Linked DNA regions of Lonchura striata. The protein of the gene in region 1 purifies or fractionates together with the protein of each later gene. This does not show direct contact. Links are inferred from orthologs where the notes say so. Each region holds a gene or a part of one and is shown on either strand. Other genes may lie near its edges.

The links.
Region 2: the proteins of COPG2 (region 1) and COPZ1 fractionate together in Homo sapiens (co-fractionation; 5 studies listed by BioGRID and IntAct, with this or other methods). This does not show direct contact. The link is inferred for Lonchura striata from reciprocal best matches to the Homo sapiens genes COPG2 and COPZ1.

The regions. Positions count from the first base shown.
Region 1 is NC_134607.1:71,934,544-71,945,358, reverse strand, and holds the start of COPG2 (coatomer subunit gamma-2), read right to left. Parts: upstream 5,320-10,815; 5' UTR 5,246-5,319; coding exon 5,209-5,245; intron 3,200-5,208; coding exon 3,147-3,199; intron 2,584-3,146; coding exon 2,503-2,583; intron 2,222-2,502; coding exon 2,150-2,221; intron 1,034-2,149; coding exon 954-1,033; intron 264-953; coding exon 188-263; intron 1-187. UniProt on the Homo sapiens protein: The coatomer is a cytosolic protein complex that binds to dilysine motifs and reversibly associates with Golgi non-clathrin-coated vesicles, which further mediate biosynthetic protein transport from the ER, via the Golgi up to the trans Golgi network.
Region 2 is NC_134629.1:8,454,378-8,464,811, forward strand, and holds COPZ1 (coatomer subunit zeta-1), read left to right. Parts: upstream 1-5,452; 5' UTR 5,453-5,485; coding exon 5,486-5,503; intron 5,504-6,384; coding exon 6,385-6,498; intron 6,499-6,787; coding exon 6,788-6,869; intron 6,870-7,090; coding exon 7,091-7,182; intron 7,183-7,420; coding exon 7,421-7,476; intron 7,477-7,699; coding exon 7,700-7,777; intron 7,778-9,001; coding exon 9,002-9,053; intron 9,054-9,391; coding exon 9,392-9,430; intron 9,431-9,776; coding exon of another isoform or gene 9,777-9,824; exon of another isoform or gene 9,825-9,961; coding exon 9,962-10,009; 3' UTR 10,010-10,339; downstream 10,340-10,434. Other genes in the region: HNRNPA1 (heterogeneous nuclear ribonucleoprotein A1), read left to right, coding at 1-121, 1,175-1,230. UniProt on the Homo sapiens protein: The coatomer is a cytosolic protein complex that binds to dilysine motifs and reversibly associates with Golgi non-clathrin-coated vesicles, which further mediate biosynthetic protein transport from the ER, via the Golgi up to the trans Golgi network.

The DNA of each region.
Region 1 (10,815 bases):
CTGGAGCTCCCAAACATTCCAGCTGCACATTCCCAGTGCTCCAGTGTCACAGAGCTGCTGGAAATTGCTCGGGGCAGTGAGCAGCCCTCCAAAAGGCAGCAGTTCCAGCAGTGCTGTAAAAGGCACCCTGCAAGAGGGCAGTTTTGGGGTTTTACACCACTCATCAGCTCTCCCCCCATGTACTCACATCAGTGATCCTGCACAGAGCTCGGATGGCCGGGCCTCGGTAGACATCCTCCTTTCCCGTCATGTCTTTGGTCAAACTGAAACCACCAGAACATCCTGTTAACACTTCCTGAATGTCCCCAGCTCTCTGTGCTCCTGTGGCATTCACCTCATTCAGCTGCTCTAGCTCTGCTGCGTTGCAACCTCTTCACAATCAGTTTAATTTGAGATTTATCAGCATCAAAACCTGGGGAGATACTGAGCTATGACATGCCCACCCCATTGAGTTGCTTTGCCATGGGCCTGGTTTGTTCAGCTCCTTCTCTTTCTTGGGGCTGCTGCTTGTTCCACATGGAATTTTGATTTAGAAACAGTGAGCAAAGTTCTGTTTGGTTTATTTTATATATTTCTCAAGTTGTTCAGCAATCCAACAACAGATCCAATTTTTGCTCTTGCAACAGCTGCAATGTCTATTTTTGCAGTCAAAAAACTGAAGAGTTCAGCTGGGAAAACAAAGTGGGCTTTACTTTAATTGCTCTGACAGCAAAGTCACAGCCTAAGCTCTGCTAAAACAAGAATTTAAATAAAACCCCACCACCATAAATGGCAAGAAAACAAAGTAACAATAACAACCTTTTGTAAATTGAATTCTCCCCCCGAGTGGGAACAGAATAACATTTGAGAGGGTGGCACAGACTGTGCATCACATCAAAGCTCAGCACTGCAGCAGCTCATGCACAGGCAGGGAGCTGCAGCCCCTTCTCCAGAGGGTGACCCCGGTGTCCCACCTGCTGGTGACAATGATGACATCCTCAGAGATATTGGCCATCTCTTTGATTGTGAGGTAACACATTCTTCTGAGGGTTTGCTGTGGAAACGTGGAGAAAAAGATTAAACTCAGTGGTAAATACAAGTTCCAAACGGTAAATGAACATAAAAATTAAATGGTTCACTTAGAAAAATAAGCTTTCAAACAAAACACATTGCTTTCAATTCAAAGTTAGAAGTGTAGAACTACATTTGATCCCTGGGTAAGAGCCAAACTCCCTGACATCAGTATTTAGTAAAATGATAAGAACTAATACAAAAATCCATGATAATTATCAAAGAAGTGATGCAACACATCCGTACTCAGAAGCCCCACAATCATCAGTTATAAGCTTTGAAAATACCTTTGTTATTGTAAAAAAGAAATGGAAGCACATGTGGAGTGTTGGCATTGTCTTTGAAAAAAATTAACTTTATTTTATATAATATTTTAATTAACTTTATAATATTTATAAATACAATATTTATATAAAATTTATTTTATTTTTTTTATTTTATAAAAAAGTTAACTTCTAAAAATCTACTTTTTAAATGAGGATATGAGAAACATTTCAAACACTCTGTACTTCCAAAAACGAACAGCTACATCTTCCTTGAACAAATCTCTAACAAGCAAACCACTTTAAATTAAAATTAATGAGCCCCATCACATGAAACACACTGCTCTGAGTTCTCACACTCTGCAGAAGAGATCACAGAAGGACTTTACACTCTGCTGAGCCCAAAGATGAAATCCCAAATTCAACCCCCAAACCATTCTGTGATTTTTAGGGTGCTCCCATCCCTTGCCTCAATGTGATGAAGGCTGACCCATGTTCTAAGGAACAGCAGCCTTTGATCTGCAGGCAGTTTTAGGATTTCCAATTCAGCAGATGGCGATTTGCAAGGGGAAGCAACAAGTGCCACAGATTTGTGAATCCAGGCTTTGCCATTATCCCCACTTTTACAGCAGGAATTCACTCAGAACCCACCTCCACCCCCAACCCACCCCACAGAACAACCACAGGTTATTATCCACTCCTCTGTTTCCAAAGCTGGAACTGCCTCCAGAGCTCCTCCTGTGCACTGCTTGCCTCCCACATCCCAAATTCCAAAGGTTTGGCAGCTCCTGCAAGCCCAGGCAGAAGCAGGGAGAGGCAAAGCACCAGGTCCTTACGTCGTTAGACTGAAACAACCTGGTCATGGCAAAAAAAGCTTCCGTGGCTTCCGTGGTTCCGAAGTGTTCACCCTGGAATTGGCAGAGAGGAAAAGCAGGAATTATCCAGCTCCTTTTGCTAATGCCCTCCCACACAGCAGGAATCTCTCCTTGGAGACTTTCTCCTGTAAGAAACCATCCTTGCATTCCCAGGGAATTCACAATTCTCTCCACTCTAAATGCCCTCCACAGGGATGGAAGCTTCCCAAGGTGTTTTCCTTGTGGAAAACTTCTTTCCCTCTAAAAAGATTATATATTTCCCACTAAAACATTATTAAAATTCATTCTGGATGGAGAGAAATCCTAACAGTTACCTGGTTCAGCAGGTAGAGGATCTTGGTAAGGATGTGGAGGCATCTTCGTGGGTTTATTGGGGTTTCATTGAAGAGCCGTGCCTGGAAATGAAACAAATTCTGCTTGAATAGATCCCAATAATAATAACAATTTTATTATTATTTCTCTTTCAACATCAAAATTAAATGAATCTGTTTCCAGATGAGCAGCTTGTAATATGTATTTGTATTAAATATGAGTCTCAGAGAATGTGCAGAATTAAATGAATGTTTCCAGCTGAGCAGCTTGTAATTTTTATTTCTATTAAATATGTGTCCCAGAGAATGTGTTCTTGCATCTTTCGTTTGCAGCAATCTGAACAAAGCACAAACAACTCAATTTGCCATCTGGAACAGGCAAAAATGCCTGAAAATAAAACATTTTTTGTCCAGGAAGAGCCCCCTGAGATGCCACATGTCCATATGGAAGGCAGAAGCCACGTGTCATCTAATTATCCTAAAAAAAACCCTCATTAACTGCAGATAAAATTAATTTATTTACACTCTCTGTGATTTTTATTTAATTCTATGAATTTAGCCATCCACATTTCCCCACAATCATTCTGCAACGCTTCCTGAAGGAAAAGATCATTAATGAAATGGCATTATCCTGTGATTACTCCTACCTCCTGAAGCACAGCACTCTTCTCCAGATGCTGGAAAGGATTGGAGCCACTCCCTGAGGAAAAAAAAGAGACCTCTCAGTTGAGGAAAAAAAATTAATTCCTCACACATCCCAACTGGTCTGGACAGGCAGGAACACCCCCAAAATTTTACCAAACCACCTCAAACCAGTGATGTTCCTCTCTGAATAATTGATGTTGGCCATCAACAGCTTTAAATCCACTTTCTTAAGTGATATATTCAGAGTTATAGAAAGAAGGTAAAAAATAAAAAAAAAAAGGAGAGGAAGAAGAAAACTGTTATTTAAAATGCCTTTTATATACTTAATATTTTTAATACCTAAATGGCCTTTACATAGAACTAATTCCTTTTTCTACTTTCCTAATGTACCTGTTTTTATTCCTTCAGGCACCAAAAGCAGAGATGCAGATCAGGATGTGAAAAAAAACTTTTCAGCCACATTAGTCCCACCCACAGCCTCACTTCTGCTCCCGATCCTCTCCTCCCAAACAGGAATTCCTCATTTCCAGTTCACTTAAATAATGTTTTGTAACCAAACAAAAAAGTCCACATTACAAACTCCAAATAATTAGCTATTAAATTAAAAGTAAAAATAATTTAAATATAATTTCTTAATTAAATAATTTAACCTTAAAAAAACCTTACCTAAAAAAAAAACAATTAATCATTTTATAACTTATTAATAAAATATCATAAAACTCACAACTTATAATATCAATGTAAGTCCCTGGTGTGAATTCCAGATACGCAGGCACAGCTCAGACAGAGAAAGTTTGGAAAGGCTCCTCTGAAACATTTTGGATTTTGCTTTGTGCAGCAAAATGACTAAAAAGAGAGGTTTCTTTTCTTTCCATACATCAGCTCACCGTTCAGGGTTAGGGTTATTATTTAGGGTTTATTATATAAATACATAGGGTATGTGTGTTATTATGTTATATAGGTTTAGTATATGTATATAAACACATGTAATCAACTCTCCTTTTTTTGAGGGATGAAACATCTGCACTGAGCAGAGACAGGGATAAAATCCTCTCTAAAAATCATCTGTGGATAAAGGGAGAGCAAACAGACCCCAATTCCTCTGGATTTGTCACCAGAGGGGAGAAATATTTCGGCAGTCAGTTCTTACAGCTGAAACACAAATACCCCACGAGCTGTGAGAGATCACAGACCCACGGGATGGCTCGGAAGGAGATTTAAGGATCATTCACTTCCACCTCCTGTCATCAGCAGGGACACCTTCCACTATCCCAGCCCGCTCCAGCCTGCTCTTGGCCACTTCCAGGGATCCAGGGGCAGCCACAGCTGCTCTGGGAATTCTATTTCACCTCAGCATCCCTCTCCACTTCAGCCATTCCCTCACCCCTCAGCCATTCCTTCCCCTCAGCCTCTCCCTCAGCATCTCACTCACCCCTCAGCCTCTCCCTCACCTCAGCATCCCCTCAGCATCTCCCTCACACCTCAGCATTTCCCTCACCTCAGCCATTCCCTTACCCCTCAGCATCCCCTTAGCAATTCCCTCACCTCAGCATCCCCTTAGCAATTCCCTCACCTCAGCACCCCCTTAGCAATTCCCTCACCTCAGCATCCCCTTAGCAATTCCCTCACCCCTCAGCCTCTCCCTCACCCCTCAGCAATTCCCTCCCCCAGCATCTCCCTGCCCTCAGCATCCCCCTCCCCTCAACTCAGCCTCTCCCTCACCTCAGCCATTGCCTCACCCCTCAGCATCTCCCTCACCCCTCAGCCTCTCCCTCACCCCAGCTCAGCCTCCCCTCACCTCAGCATCTCCCTCAAACCCCTCAGCATCTCCCTCACCTCAGCCATTCCCTTAGCAATTCCCTCACCTCAATATCTCCCTCACCCCTCAGCATCTCCCTGCCCCCAGCTCAGCCTCCCCTCAGCTCAGCATCTCCCTCACCTCTCTCATCTCCACCCCGCTGTCACCTCGGCATCCCCCTCACCTCTTCCCCCGCTGTCACCCCAGCACACCTCAGCCCTCTCCTCGCCCCAGCACCGCTCTCCTCACCCCCAGCCCCCCCGTACCGGACTCCTCGTCCTTTTTATCGAACTTCTTGATCATGGCGGCCCCGCTCCCTCCGAGCGCCGCCGCCTCAGCTGCCCCGCCGGAAGCCCCGCCCCACCCCGATCTCTGGCACCTGATTGGATAGCCCCGCTGTCAATCAAACTCAAGCCAAGCCACGCCCCCACCCGCGCGCTGAAAGGGCGGGGCCAGAGCGAGGGCGCGTCTTAAAGGAGCCGCGTCGTTATTTTGTGAGGGGAGCGAGGTTGCGCTGGCGGGCGGAGAGAGAAATTAATGAATAAATGAATAAATGAATAAATATAAACTATCTGCGCTCCTGGCTGAGAAACAGGGACTCGTGTGGGGTTTACAAGGAATTTCCATTGAATTCACATGGAATTCACATCGAATTTACACCGAATTTCCATGGAATTCACATGGAATTTCCATGGAATTCACACGGAATTTACATCAAATTCACACGGAATTTCCATTGAATTCATATGGAATTTCCTTCAAATTCACACCGAATTTCCATTGATTTTTGCACTGAATTTCCATCAGATTCTCACGGAATTTCCATTGAATTCACACGGAATTCACATCAAATTCACACTGAATTTCCATCGAATTCACACTGAATTTCCATCAAATTCACACGGAATCCACATCAAATTCACACCGAATTAACAGAGTTGTATTAATTTTTATGTGAGATTGAAAATGGAATAAAAGTTCTTAAAATGCTTTTTAGTGGTCTCATTTTGGGGTTAGAAATGGGTATATTCTGATAAATTTATTTTGGAATTATTCCTCTTCCTGCAGGTGGCTGAGATTACAAAACCAAGGTGAGGTGTTGTTTTGTGTGAGGAAAAACAGGTTTTTTTTGGAGTATAATAATAAGGGTTTTTTTGAGTAGAATAAAAAGGTTTTTTGGAGTATAATGTTGTGTTTGGTATTTTTTTTTTAAGAGTGTCAGTGATCTTTTAAAGGGTTTTTTGAGGTTAAAATGTTAAAATTCTAGGAGATTTGATGGTGTTCAAATGAGATGTATTATATATTATATTAAATATTATATATAGCACTTATTACATGCATTATTATAATATATAACGTTTTCTATATTGCAATATATTAAATGTTGTGTTTATGATATTGTTTAGTATAAGTTATATTTTATTACATAGTATTATTTATTAAATGTGTTATATATTATATACTATGTATAACGTTAGATATATTACATATTGCAATATATTATGTAATGTGATAAAATGTGATATAATGTAATGTAATGTAATGCAATGTAATATAATATAATATAACATAATATGATATAATACATAATATAATGTGATATGATATAATGTGATGTGATGTGATGTGATATAATATAATGTGATGTGATATAATTAATATAATATAATATAATATAATATAATATAATATAATATGTAATACAATGTAATGTAATGTAATATAATATAACATAATATGATATAATATTATATTATATAATATAATGTGATATTATATAATATGATACGATATTATATTATTAGAATAGAATAGAATAGAATAGAATAGAATAGAATAATTTTATTACTTTATATTATTTTATATTTTACTTTTTATGATTTAATTTTATTTATTATTTATTATATATTATTTAATATTTATCATTTAATACTTATTATTTTTATTTATTATTATTATATTTCCCATTTCATTAGCCTCTCCGCTGAGATTACTCTCTCCTTCCTCAACACTTTACAACCCCCCCAAAAACCTGGGGCACAACAGAACCACCAAAACCCCCAATTTTAGACCCCCAACCTTTTTTTTAACCCGGGAACCTCCGGGATTGGCTTTTCCACGGCTGGGCAGCAGGAGCAGGCCATTTACCCCAGGATTTATCCCCCCAGGACAACGAGGGAAAATCAAACCCCCGCCAGGGATTCTTCCCCAAATTTCCTCCCACCTCCAGAAGCTCAAAGCTCTTTTTGCCACGCTCCCAACTCTGCATTTTCCACTTGGATTTTCCTCATCTCAGCCAGCTGCCGGCACAGGAACTGCTCCCAAACCAAATCTCAAAGCAAATCCCACAAACAAGTTTTTCCTGCAGTTTTTCTCCCTCCGGAACAACTTCAAGCGCTTGTAGAGGTCGAGGAGAACAGCGCAGCTTTAATTCCAAGGGGAATATTTGGATTTTATTTCCAAGTTTTCCCAGTGATTTAGCACGGATTCAAGACCCCCAGCCTATCATAACTCACAGCAGAGCCAAGTGGAATTTGATTATTGCTGACTTTAAAGATAAGCTTTAAAAAGGAAAGATAAACTTTCACCGTGAAAGTAAACTTTCAAAAGGAAAAATAAAATTTAAAAGGGTTTCCCCAGCTGACTGGAATTAATTCTAGAAAGCGGAAAAGGAACCAAATCCCACGTGATGGACATTTATTTATTCCTAGAAAGTGAGGGTGGAAAATCTTCCCTCTTCCTTCTCGCCCCTCAGAGAATGCAAAAAGGTCCAAATTCACTTTTGTTTTTTTTTTTTTTCAGGAGAATCCCTCTGGGAATGTTATTTACAGGGAAAAGGGGACGTGTCCAAACCTCCAGCTGGAATTTTCACAACCTCACGTTTGGCTCAGTGCTCTTCCGTCCTCGAATAATTTAATCGCAATTTTCACAACCTCACGTTTGGCTCAGTGCTCTTCCATCCTCAAATAATTGAATCGCAATTTTCACAACCTCACGTTTGGCTCAGTGCTCTTCCGTCCTCGAATAATTTAATCGCAATTTTCACAACCTCACGTTTAGCTCAGTGCTCTTCCATCCTCGAATAATTTAATCGTAATTTTCACAACCTCACGTTTGGCTCAGTGCTCTTCCGTCCTCGAATAATTGAATTGCAATTTTCACAACCTCACGTTTGGCTCAGTGCTCTTCCATCCTCGAATAATTGAATCGCAATTTTCACAACCTCACGTTTGGCTCAGTGCTCTTCCGTCCTCGAATAATTGAATTGGCTCAAATAAAAGCTCGGGACCAAAATCTGCTCATTCTCTTTGGGAAAAAGCTGATTCTCAAAAACATCTGAGAACTGGAAGTCCCCAAACCAGATGCCGAGACCTTGAGCGACCCTGTGGCCAAAATCCCCCGGCGTGGTTTCACAGCTGGCTTTCCCCTCGCACCGAAAAGGAGCTGAAGTTCCAAAAAATCCCGCCGGAGATCCCCCGAGGTGGCCACAGCTCCTCTGGCTTCCTCAGCTGTGGGGTCACGCTTCTGCCACCCCAGCAGGGACACATTTCCCTTGGAAAGTTCTGGAAAGGTTGGAGTCGCTCCAGGCCGAGCTCATAAATGCAGCAGTGGCTCCTTCCCACCACCTCGTTTTTACCGATTCTGACAAATTTCAGCCAAAAAAGGAAAATTTTGGTGGTAAAACCGTAGCAAGTGTTACATGCGGTGTGTTTTAGCTTTTATGAGTGCGTGACGTTGATGGCAATGCTTAGCATTGGATCTCCTCCTTCTCCTCTTCTTCTCCTCCTTCTTCTCCTTCTCTCCTTTTCTTTCTCCTTCTCCTCCTCCTCCTCCTTCTCCTCCTCCTTCTCCTCCTCCTCCTTCTCCTTCTTCTCCTCCTTCTCCTCCTCCTCTCCTTCTCCTTCTCCTCCTCCTCCTTCTCTCCTTCTCTTTCCCCTTCTCCTCCTCCTCCTCTCCTTTTTCTCCTTCTCCTTCTCCTCTCCTTCTTCTTCTCCTTCTCCTCCTTTTCTCCTTTTTCTCCTTCTCCTTCTCTCCTTCTCCTTCTCCCTCTCCTTCTCAATTTCCTCCTCCTCCTCCTTCTCTCCTTTTCCTTCTCCATTTCCTCCTCCTCCTCCTTCTCTCCTTTTTCTCCTTCTCTCCTTTTTCTCCTTCTCTTCTCCTCCTCCTTTTCCTTCTCCTTCTTTTCTCCTTCTCCTTCTCCTCCTCCTCCTTCTCTCCTTCTCCCTCTCCTTCTCCTTTCCTATTCCTCCATCTCTCTTTTTTCTCCTTCTCCTTCTCCTTCTCCTTCTCCTTCTCCTCCTCCTTTCTCCTCCTCCTTTCTCCTTCTCCTCCTTCTCCTCCTTGTCCTCCTCCTCTCATAAAAAAAAAACAAAAAAACTCATAATTCCCATAACACAAAATGTTACCATAGGATTTTTTTCCTTTCTCCATCCCTCTTCATTTCCAAGGTGTGGGACTCAGATTCAAAGGAAGAAACAGAGTTTCTAGCCAGGCAGAAACCTGGGAAAGTGCTGGGAAAGAATGCAAATAATTCTTTATTTCTCTTGTTTTTCACATTGTTTATAGTGAATTTCTATCACTGTGCGTCAAGCACTTTGCACCAATGCTTTGGGTTGTTTTCATTTCAGAACCAATGGAGTTGGTCCTCACAAAGCTCTGTATAAAGAGCAGTGTATTTTGAATAAATCGGAGTTTTACTCTCACAGCCTTCTGGTCAGAGTCTTCTCATTCCCATCCTGCCTCGACAGCGACACCAAGGCAATATTTTGACTTTTCCAGGTGCCTCCAAGCACAACGCGCAGCGCTGCTTTGGGACAGAATCCAGGCCCAGCAACTGCTTCTTGCTGCATTAATAGTAGGTAATTAAAATGGAAGTAATGAACCTGATGGGAAACCATCCCAGGCTGCCAACCTGAGCTTTACGAACTATTTTTTGGGATTGTTTTCCCCGAGCACATGGAATTATCAGGGATGAATCACAAATACTTCTGAGAAGACGAACTCACGGCCTGAGCACGTTTTGTGCGCTCTGTGCAAGAACCTGTGAGAGCTGATAAGAAATTAAATCCTGCTGAAATCCTCACAGGAAAACAAAAGTTGGAGTTTGGCCCATTCTGCTCCTTGAGGCAGGGTTTTGGTTTCTCTTTCTGGAAAATGAATTCAAAGGAATATTTTTGCCCTAGAAGGAGATGGATCCATCCAGGATGGGTGTTTGTCTCCCTTTGGACACTGGACTAATTTCTAGTCCTGACCTAAAATCCAGCTTTTTTTTACCCAAAAATCTCCAGTTCAAGAATCACATCCAACAACACAACCCCTTCCACGAGCCACATCCATGGAGAAACCTGGAATTCCTCAACCACTTCCACTTGTGGTGCTGCATCCCCCCAGCTTCCCCTTCCTTGGAGCTGCTGGGGGGCCTCAGGAATTCCCACCTGGATGGTGAAGTGTCCCTTGACCACACCAGGGACTTGTGCATGGAAAAGGTTGGAGAATTGTCCCTGTCAAGCGCCCCAGTTGCCTGAGCAAGGCGAGGAACGAGAGATAATCCCTTATTTCCTGAAGGCTTTGGAATATCACAGCCTGGAATCATCCCAAGTGGAAAAGTACCATTGTTAGCAGAGCTTTGAAAAGAAAACCTCCAGGAATTCCCAGCTTGGGTGGAAACTTCCTGATTACTTATGGGAAATCATGGAATCATAGAAGGACTTGGAAAGGATCTTAAGGATCACCCAGTGCCACCCCATCCATGGCAGGGACACCTCCCACTGTCCCAGGGGCTCCAGCCCCAGTGTCCAACATTTCCTTGGACATTCCAGGGATCCAGGGGCAGCCCCAGCTGCTCTGGCAATCCCAGCCCAGCCAGGAATTCC
Region 2 (10,434 bases), on another chromosome or scaffold:
AGCAATTTCGGGGGCGGGGGCAGCTACAACGACTTCGGCAGCTACAACAACCAGGCCTCGAGCTTCGGGCCCATGAAGGGCGGCAGCTTCGGGGGGCGCAGCTCGGGGCCCTACGGCGGCGGTGAGTCCCCAAAAACCCCAAAAATCATCTAGGGAACCCCCAAAATATCCCAAATGTCCCGGGGGCAGCTTTGGGGGGGCGCAGCTCAGGGCCCTACGGTGGTGGTGAGTCCCAAAAAACCCCAAAAATCATCTAGGGAACCCCCAAAATATCCCAAATGTCCCGGGGGCAGCTTCGGGGGGCGCAGCTCGGGGCCCTATGGCAGTGGTGAGTCCCAAAAACCTCCAAAAATCACCTGGGGAACCCCCAAAACCCCCCTGGGAACCCCAAAATATCCCAAATGTCCCGGGGGCAGCTTTGGGGGGGCGCAGCTCGGGGCCCTACGGTGGTGGTGAGTCCCAAAAACCTCCAAAAATCATCTAGGGAACCCCCAAAACCCCCCTGGGAACCCCAAAATATCCCAAATGTCCCGGGGGCAGCTTCGGGGGGCGCAGCTCGGGGCCCTACGGTGGCGGTGAGTCCCCAAAAACCCCAAAAATCACCTGGGGAACCCCAAAATATCCCAAATGTCCCGGGGGCAGCTTCGGGGGGTGCAGCTCGGGGCCCTACGGCGGCGGTGAGTCCCCAAAAACCCCAAAAATCACCTGGGGAACCCCCAAAATATCCCAAATGTCCCGGGGGCAGCTTCGGGGGGCGCAGCTCGGGGCCCTACGGCGGTGGTGAGTCCCCAAAAACCCCAAAAATCACCTGGGGAACCCCCAAAACCCCCCTGGGAACCCCAAAATATCCCAAATGTCCCGGGGGCAGCTTCGGGGGGCGCAGCTCGGGGCCCTATGGCAGCGGTGAGTCCCCAAAAATCACCCGGGGAGCCCCAAAATATCCTGGGGAACCTCAAAAACCACATTGAGGACCCCAAAAATCACCTTGGGGGAGCTTAATTTGTATTGGGGCGGCCTTAAAATAACCTGGGGGGGGCTCAAAATGTGCTGGGAGGACCCCAAAACAAACTGGGGCGATCCCAGAATGTCCTGGCAGGGCTCTGGGGTCACTGGGGGTCCCCAAATGTCCCCCCCCGATTTTTGGGTGTCCCTGAATCCCCTCCTGGTTCCACAGGCGGCTACGGCAGCTCCAGCGGCGGCGGCAGCTACGGAGGAGGGAGGAGGTTTTAACGGCCAGGTGAGGGGAAAAACGGGGGGAAAGGAGGGGAAAATGGGGGAAAAAACAGGGAAAAAAGGTGGGGAAAGTTGGGAGAAAATAGGGAAAAAAGGTGGGGAAAATTTGGGAAAAGGGGGAGAAAAATATGGGAAAAAAGGTGGGGGAAATAAGGGAAAAATATGGGGAAAAGGTGGGGAAAATATGAGAAAATCTTGGGAAAAAATTGGGGGAAAATGGGGAAAATATGGGAAAATGGGGAAAATATGGGGAAATGGGGAGAAAATATGGGGAAAATATGGGAAAGAATGTGGGAAAAAATGGGAAGATAATTGGGAGAAGAAATTATGAATTGGTCAGGGAGAAGGGAGAGGAAAATAAAACGATGGGAGGGATTTCAGGCAGAAAAGTGGGAAAACAGGAAAAAAAAGGTTGGGAAAAGATGAAGTGGGAGGGATGAAGGGAAGGGTTGGGGAAAATGGAAAAAAAGGGGGAAAAGAAGATTGGGGGAAAAAAAGAAAAGAGGGAAGCGAGAAAAGGTTGGAAAGGAGAAAAAGCTGGGAAGAGATGGAGGAAATGGTTAAAATTGGGAGATAAAGTGATGGAAAATGGGGAAATAACAGGAAAAGGTGGAAAAAGGATGGGAATGAAGGGAAAGGGGAGGTGGGAATTGCAGCGGGGCTGGGGCTGGGATCGGGCAGGGTCATGGGGATCGGGGCAGGGATGGGAATGGGAATGGGATGGGATGGGAATGGGATTGGAGCAGGAATGAGAATGGGATCTGGGATGGAAATGGGAATGGGGCAGGGATGGGAATGGGATTGGAGCAGGAATGAGAATGGGATCTGGGATGGAAATGGAGCTGGGATTGGGGCTGGGAATGGGAGTGGGGCAGGGATGGGAATGGGATCTGGGATGGAAATGGGAATGGGGCAGGGATGGGAATGGGATCTGGGATGGGATTTGGGAATGGGATGGGAATGGGGCAGGATTGGGGCAGGGATGGGAATGGGATCTGGGCAGGGATTGGGGTTGGGAATGGGGCCAGGATTGGGGCAGGGATGGGAATGGGAATGGGGCTGGGAATGGGAATGGGATTGGAGCAGGAATGAGAATGGGATTGGAGCAGGAATGAGAATGGGATCTGGGATGGAAATGGAGCTGGGATTGGGGCTGGGAATGGGAGTGGGGCAGGGATGGGAATGGGAATGGGATGGGATTTGGCAATGGGATCTGGGATGGGATTTGGGAATGGGATGGGAATTTGGCAGGATTGGGGCAAAGATTGGGGCAGGGATGGGAATGGGATCTGGGCAGGGATTGGGGTTGGGAATGGGGCCAGGATTGGGGCAGGGATGGGAATGGGAATGGGATGGAAATGGAGCTGGGATTGGGGCTGGGACTGCCGCTGGGTTTGGGGCTGGGATGGGAATGGGATCTGGGATGGGAATGGGATCTGGGATGGGAATGGGATCTGGGCAGGGATTTGGGCCAGGATTGGGGCTTGGACTGGAGCTGGGTTTGGGGCTGGGATGGGAATGGGATCTGGGATGGGAATGGGATCTGGGCAGGGATTTGGGCCAGGATTGGGGCTGGGACTGGAGCTGGGTTTGGGGCTCTGCCCCTCCTGGAGCCCCCAACACCGGAGCTGCTCCTGATCCCAATCCCAGTGCTGATCCCAGCCCCGATCCTGACTGCCCCAATCCTGATCCCAGCGCTGACCCTGCCCCAATCCCGAACCCAATCCTGACCCCGATCCTGCCCCAGTCCCGATCCCAAAATCCCAATCCTGATCCCAGTGCTGACCCTGCCCCAATCCCGAACCCAATCCTGACCCCGATCCTGCCCTGAGCCCAATCCCAAAATCCCAATCCTGATCCCAGTGCTGACCCTGCCCAATCCTGATCCCAATCCTGACCCCGATCCTGCCCCAATCCCAATCCCAAAATCCCAATCCCAAAATCCCAATCCTGATCCCAGTGCTGACCCTGCCCAATCCTGATCCCAATCCTGACCCCGATCCTGCCCTGAGCCCAATCCCAAAATCCCAATCCCAAAATCCCAATCCTGATCCCAGTGCTAACCCTGCCCCAATCCTGATCCCAATCCTGACCCCGATCCTGCCCTGAGCCCAATCCCAAAATCCCAATCCCAAAATCCCAATCCTGATCCCAGTGCTAACCCTGCCCCAATCCTGATCCCAATCCTGACCCCGATCCTGCCCTGAGCCCAATCCCAAAATCCCAATCCCAAAATCCCAATCCTGATCCCAGTGCTGACCCTGCCCCAATCCCGAACCCAATCCTGACCCCGATCCTGCCCCGATCCCAATCCCAAAATCCCAACCCCGATCCCGGCGCTGACCCTGCCCCGATCCCAATCCCAAAATCCCAATCCCAAAATCCCGATCCCGGTGCTGACCCTGCCCCTCTGTCCCGCAGGAGCCGGAGCTGGGCGGGAGCCGGGGCAGCCCCAGGAGCCGGAGCCGGAGCTGGGCCGGGAGAGCCCCGGGACCCCCCTGGGAACCTCTGGGGACCACCCGGGACCCCCCTGGATCCCCCAGGACCCTCTGGGGACCCCCCAGGATCCCCCCTGGGACCCCCCAGGATCCCCCGGGATTCCCCTGGGACCCTCTGGGGACCCCCCGGGATCCCCCCGGGACCCCTCTGGATCCCCCAGGACCCTCTGGGGACCTCCCAGGATCCCCCCGGGACCCCCCGGGATTCCCCTGGGACCCTCTGGGGACCCCTGGGATCCCCCCGGGATTCCCCCCGGGACCTCCGGGAATCCCCCGGGACCCCCGGGGCCGGGTCCCCCCGTAGTTCCCGAGCGGAGCGGCCGGAACCCCCCCGTGTCCTGTACCCCCCCCCCTCAATAAATGTCTCTTGGGTTTTTTTTTTAATTGGTTTTTATCATCATTGTTAATTTCAGAGCTGGGGGTGGCTGCTTCCTCCTGATTGGTCACCGCAGCTGTCAGTCACAGCCTGGCTCCGCCCCACCTGACTGTCGTGTCCCCAGGTGTCCCAAAGTGTCCCCAAAGTGTCCCCTGGGTGTCCCTGAGTGTCCCCAGGTGTCCCTGAGTGTCCCCAGGGTGTCCGCAGATGTCCCCAGGGTGTCCCTGGGTATCCCAGGGTGTCCTAGAATGTCCCCAGGGTGTCCCCAGGTGTCCCAAAGTGTCCCCAAAGTGTCCCCTGGGTGTCCCTGGGTATCCCAGGGTGTCCCTGAGTATCCCCAGGGTGTCCCTGGGTATCCCAGGGTGTCCCTGAATGTCCCCAGGGTGTCCCCAGGTGTCCCAAAGTGTCCCCAAAGTGTCCCCTGGGTGTCCCTGAATGTCCCCAGGGTGTCCCACCCCCCCCCATCACTGATTGCCACCTTCCCCTTTTGAAGGAGCCCTCGGAGGTGAGCCTGGCGACACTCTGGGGACACTTTGGGGACACCCTGGGGACACTCAGGGACACCCTGGGACACCCTGGGGACACTCAGGGACACCCTGGGGACACCTGGGGACACCCTGGGGACACCCTGGGGACACTGCAGGGACAGGGCTGGGGACGAAGCAGCCACGGAGGGGCCAGACACAACACCTGGCGGATGACACGGGGGTGCCACCGCTGTCCCCCAGAGTCCCCAGATGTCCCCAGCCCCTGGTGGGTGATACAGAGGTGCCACCCCTGTCCCCAAATGTCCCCAAGTGTCCTCAGCTGTCCCCAAGTGTCCCCCAATGTCCCCCGCTGTTCTCCAAACGGCCCCATTAATATCCCCAGATGTCCCCAAATGTCCCCAGTGGCCCCAAATGTCCCCAAATGTCCCCAAATGTCCCCAGATGTCCCCAAATGTCCCCAATGCCCCCATTAATCTCCCCAAATCTCCCCCCTGTCCCCGCCCCCCCCCCGTGACACGCTCCGGGCGCCATCAGCAGAACAGGCCCCACTTCCGGTCACGTGCGCGCCGAGCCAGCCAATCAGCCCAGCCCCGGTAAAGCGGTGACGTCAGCGCTTCCCCGGTCACTATGGCAACTGCGCCGCCCCCTCCGCTTCCGGCAGCGCCGTGCAGCCGTGATTGACAGCTAGATCGTCCAATCAACGCCTGTCTAGGGAAGCGCGGGAAAGACTGGTCCGCCCACCGCGCGGAAGCGCGCAGCGATTGGTGGGGTGGAGGAAGAATTGGACCAATCAGGCCGGCGGGGTGGGGCCAACGAGAGTGATTGGCAGGCGAGCAGCCAATCAGCGGCGGGCGCTCTTCCGGCTCCACGTCGGCAGCGGCGGAGGCAAAATGGAGACGCTGGTGCTGGTGAGGGACGGGGAAACTGAGGCACGGGCGAACTGGGAGTACTGAGGAGAAACTGAGGCACGGGAGGGACTGGGGGGCCTGGTGGGAAACTGAGGCACGGGGGGGACTGGGGGGACTGAGGCACGGGGGGAACTGAGGGTACTGAGGGGAAACTGAGGCATGGGGGGGACTGGGAGTACTGAGGGGAAACTGAGGCACGGGGGGGACTGGGGGGCCTGGTGGGAAACTGAGGCACGGGGGGAACTGAGGGTACTGAGGGGAAACTGAGGCACGGGGGGACTGGGAGTACTGAGGGGAAACTGAGGCACGGGGGAACTGGGAGTACTGAGGAGAAACTGAGGCACGGGGGGAACTGGGGTACTGAGGGGAAACTGAAGCACGGGGGGAACTGGGGGGGTTCAGTCCAACACTGGGCAGTGACACTGGGGACAGTTTGGGGACAATTTGGGGACAGTTTGGCAGAGTTTGGGTGCCCGGGCCGGGGTTCTGTCCTACACTGGGCTGTGGCTCTGGGGACAGTTTTGGGGACAGGTTGGCACGGTTTGGCACAGGTTGGCACGATTTGGGCACTCAGGCCGGGGTTCTGTCCTACACTGGGCTGTGGCTCTGGGCAGTCAGTGCATCACAGAACTTGGTCCTGGGCACCCCCGGCACCGCGGGACCCGCTGGGACAGCGACAGGGAGGGGACAGAGGGACAGGGACAGAGGGACAGGGACAGACAGACAGGGGACAGGGACACAGGGACAGGGACACAGGGACAGGGACGGGGGGCACAGGCCGTGGGGACAGGGATGGGGAGGACATGGTGACAGTGACCCCAGCACAGGCTCGCCCGCTGTCCCTGTCCCGGGGGTGGCACTGTCCCTGTCCCTGTCCCCAGGGGTGTGGTGGCACTGTCCTTGTCCCTGTCCTGTCCCGTCCCCAGGAGCCGTCCCTGTACACGGTCAAGGCCATCATCATCCTCGACAACGACGGCGAGCGGCTCTTCGCAAAGGTGGGGACACTGGGACACCCAGGGGACACCCAGGGGGGATATTGGGGACACTCAGGGGACACTGGGGACAGCCAGGGGACACCTTGGGGACAGGGGCACAGTGCCCTGAGGGGGATGCGGCTCTGGGCAAGGGCCAGGGTGGGTGGCACGGGTGTCAAGGGGTGGCCGATGTCCCTGATGATGTCCCCGTGTCCGTGTCCCCATGTCCCCGATGATGTCCCCATGTCTGTGTCCCCATGTCCCCGATGATGTCCCCATGTCCCCATGACGTCCCGTGTCTGTGTCCCAGTACTACGATGACACGTACCCCAGCGTGAAGGAGCAGCGCGCCTTCGAGAAGAACATCTTCAACAAGACCCACCGCAGTGACAGTGAGTGACACCGAGGGGACACTGAGGGGACACTGAGTGACACAGGGGTGGCACGGGGGTGACACGGGGTCACAGGGACACAGGACATCTTCAGCAAGACCCACCGCAGTGACAGTGAGTGACACGGGGACACTGAGGGGACACTGAGTGACACGGGGGTGGCACTGTGTGACACAGGGGTGGCACAGGTGACACGCAGGTGACAGTGTGGCTGTCCCCAGGTGAGATCGCGCTGCTGGACGGGCTGACCGTGGTGTACAAGAGCAGCATCGACCTGTACTGCTGCGTCATCGGGAGTGCCACCCAGAACGAGGTGGGACACGGGGACACGGGGACATGGGGGGGACATGGGGGGACAGAGCAGGACAGAGCGGGGACACTGCTGGGACACCGTGGGGACTCTGCAGGGGCACGAGGACACCCAGGGCTGCTGGGGGACCCCAGGTGGATTGTGACCCCGCTGTCCCCTCTGTGTCCCCATGTGACCCCGCTGTCCCCTCTTTGTCCCCTCTGTCCCCTCTGTGTCCCCTCCGTGTCCCCTCTGTCCCCAGCTGATGCTGACGGCCGTGCTGAACTGCCTGTTCGACTCGCTGAGTCAAATGCTGAGGTAGGGACACACTGGGGACACCTGGGGACGCCTGGGACACACCTGGGGACACCTGGGGACACCTGGGACACACCTGGGGACACCTGGGACACCTGGGGACACTCCTGGGGACAGTTCTGTGGGGTGTCCCCGATGTCCCTGTGGGGTATCCGTGATGTCCCCATGTCCCCATATCTCTCTGTCCCCATGTCCCCAATGTCCCCTGTCCCTGTCCCTGTCTCAGGAAGAACGTGGAGCGCCGGGCGCTGCTGGACAACATGGAGGGGCTGTTCCTGGCCGTGGACGAGATCGTGGATGGAGGGTGGGTCCCTGTCCTTGTCCCTGCCACTGCCACTGTCACTGTCACCTCCCTGTCCCTGTCCCTGCCACTGTCACCTCCCCTGTCACCTCGCTGGGACTGTTCACTGCCACTGTCACCTCCTGGGGACTGTCACCTACCTGGGATTGTCACCTCCCTGGGACTGTCACTGTCACCCTGGGACTGGCACTGCCACCCCGGGCTCTGTCCCCGCAGTGCTGAGGTGTCCCTGTCCCCTCTGTCCCTGTCCTGTCCCATCCCTGTCCTGTCCCATCCCTGTCCCCGTCCCTGTCCCATTCCTGTCCTGTCCCATCCCTGTCCCTGTCCCATCCCTGTCCCTGTCCCATCCCTGTCCCCGTCCCTGTCCCATCCCTGTCCTGTCCCATCCCTGTCCCTGTCCCATCCCTGTCCCTGTCCCATCCGTGTCCCCGTCCCTGTCCCATTCCTGTCCTGTCCCATCCCTGTCCCTGTCCTGTCCCTGTCCCCATCCCCATCCCCATCCCTGTCCTGTCCCATCCCTGTCCTGTCCCATCCCTGTCCCCGTCCCTGTCCCATTCCTGTCCTGTCCCATCCCTGTCCCTGTCCCATCCCTGTCCCTGTCCCATCCCTGTCCCTGTCCCATCCGTGTCCCCGTCCCTGTCCCATTCCTGTCCTGTCCCATCCCTGTCCCTGTCCTGTCCCTGTCCCCATCCCCATCCCCATCCCTGTCCTGTCCCATCCCTGTCCCTGTCCCATCCCTGTCCCATTCCTGTCCTGTCCCTGTCCCCGTCCCTGTCCCATCCCTGTCCCTGTCCCATCCCTGTCCCTGTCCCATCCCTGTCCCTGTCCCATCCCTGTCCCCATCCCTGTCCCATTCCTGTCCTGTCCCTGTCCTGTCCTGTCCCTGTCCTGTCCCTGTCCCATCCCTGTCCTGTCCCATCCCTGTCCTGTCCCATCCCTGTCCCTGTCCCATCCCTGTCCTGTCCCATCCCTGTCCCCGTCCCTGTCCTGTCCCATCCCTGTCCCTGTCCCATCCCTGTCCTGTCCCATTCCTGTCCTGTCCCTGTCCTGTCCCATCCCTGTCCCTGTCCTGTCCCTGTCCCTGTCCCCATCCCCATCCCTGTCCTGTCCCATCCCTGTCCCTGTCCCTGTCCTGTCCTGTCCCTGTCCTGTCCTGTCCCTGTCCCATCCCTGTCCCCGTCCCTGTCCCATCCCTGTCCTGTCCCATCCCTGTCCGTGTCCCCTCAGGGTCATCCTGGAGAGTGACCCCCAGCAGGTCGTGCACCGCGTGGCCGTGCGGGTACGGGGGATCTGGGGGGACTGGGGGGCTTTGGGAATTTTAGGGGGGATTGGGGAGAATTTGGGGGTTTGGGAGGGATTTGGTTTTTGGGGGGGATTTGAGTTTTTTTTTGGGGGGGATCTGGGATTTTTGTGGGGGATTGGGAGGGATTTCAGGGGCATTTCAGGGGAATTTAGGGGCATTTGGGGGTCTTGGGAGGGAGTTGGGGTTTTTAGGGGGGAGTTGGGGAGAATTTGGGGTTTTTGGGGGGATTTGGGGGCAGCTGAGGGGGAATCCTGGGTGCCCCCCCTGCTCCAGGCACCCACTGTCCCCTCCCTGTCCCCTCCCTGTCCCCACAGGGCGAGGACGTGCCCCTGACAGAGCAGACGGTGTCACAGGTAGGACCCCAAAAACCCCTTGGGACCCCCCAAAACTCCTGAGAGCCCCAAAAACCCCTTGGGATCCCCAAAAACCTCCTGGGATCCCCCCAAAAAAATCCTGAGAGTCCCAGAAACCCCTTGGGATCCTTAAAAGTCCCCCTGGGACCCCCCAAAAAAATCCTGAGAGCCCCAAAACCCTCCTGAGACCTCCCCAAAACCCCCTGGGACCCCTCCAGGATCCCACCCCCGACCCCTTTGGGCCCCCCAAACCCTTCCAGGGGTGTCCTTGGCCCCCCCAGGTGTCCCCCAGGTGTCCCCCCTGTCCCCAGGTGTCCCCAGCTGTCCCCCCCGTCTGTGTCCCCAGGTGCTGCAGGCGGCGAAGGAGCAGATCAAGTGGACGCTGCTGCGTTAGGGGGACCCCCGGGACCCCCCAAAAACCCCCTGGGACCCCTCCAGGGCACCACCGACCTCTTTGGGCCCCCCCAGACCCTTCCAGGGGTGTCCTTGGCCCCCCCAGGTGTCCCCAGGTGTCCCCGTCTGTGTCCCCAGGTGCTGCAGGCGGCGAAGGAGCAAATCAAGTGGTCGCTGCTGCGTTAGGGGGACCCCCCAAAACCTCCTGGGACCCCCCAAAAACCTCCTGGGACCCCCCCAGGACCTCCCAAAAATCTCCTGGGAACCCCGAAAACCTCCTGGGAGCCACCAGGAAGCACCCAGGAGCCCCCAACAACTCCTGGGACCCCCCCAAAACCTTGTGGGAACCCCCGGGACCCCCCAAAACCCCCCCGGGATGGCCCAGGACCCCCCAAAACCTCCTGGGACCCCACAAAACCCCCTTGAGAGCCCCCCAAAACCTCCTGGGACCCACCCGGGATCCCCCAAAACTCCCCGGGACCCCCCCGTGCCCCCCAACACGCCGCTGCCCCCCCAGTCCCGTGTGCTGCCTCCTCTGTGCCTGCGCCGCCCCGGGAGGGGTTTGGGGGGATTTTTGGGGGATTTTTGGGGGGGTTCCGAGGGATTTTGGG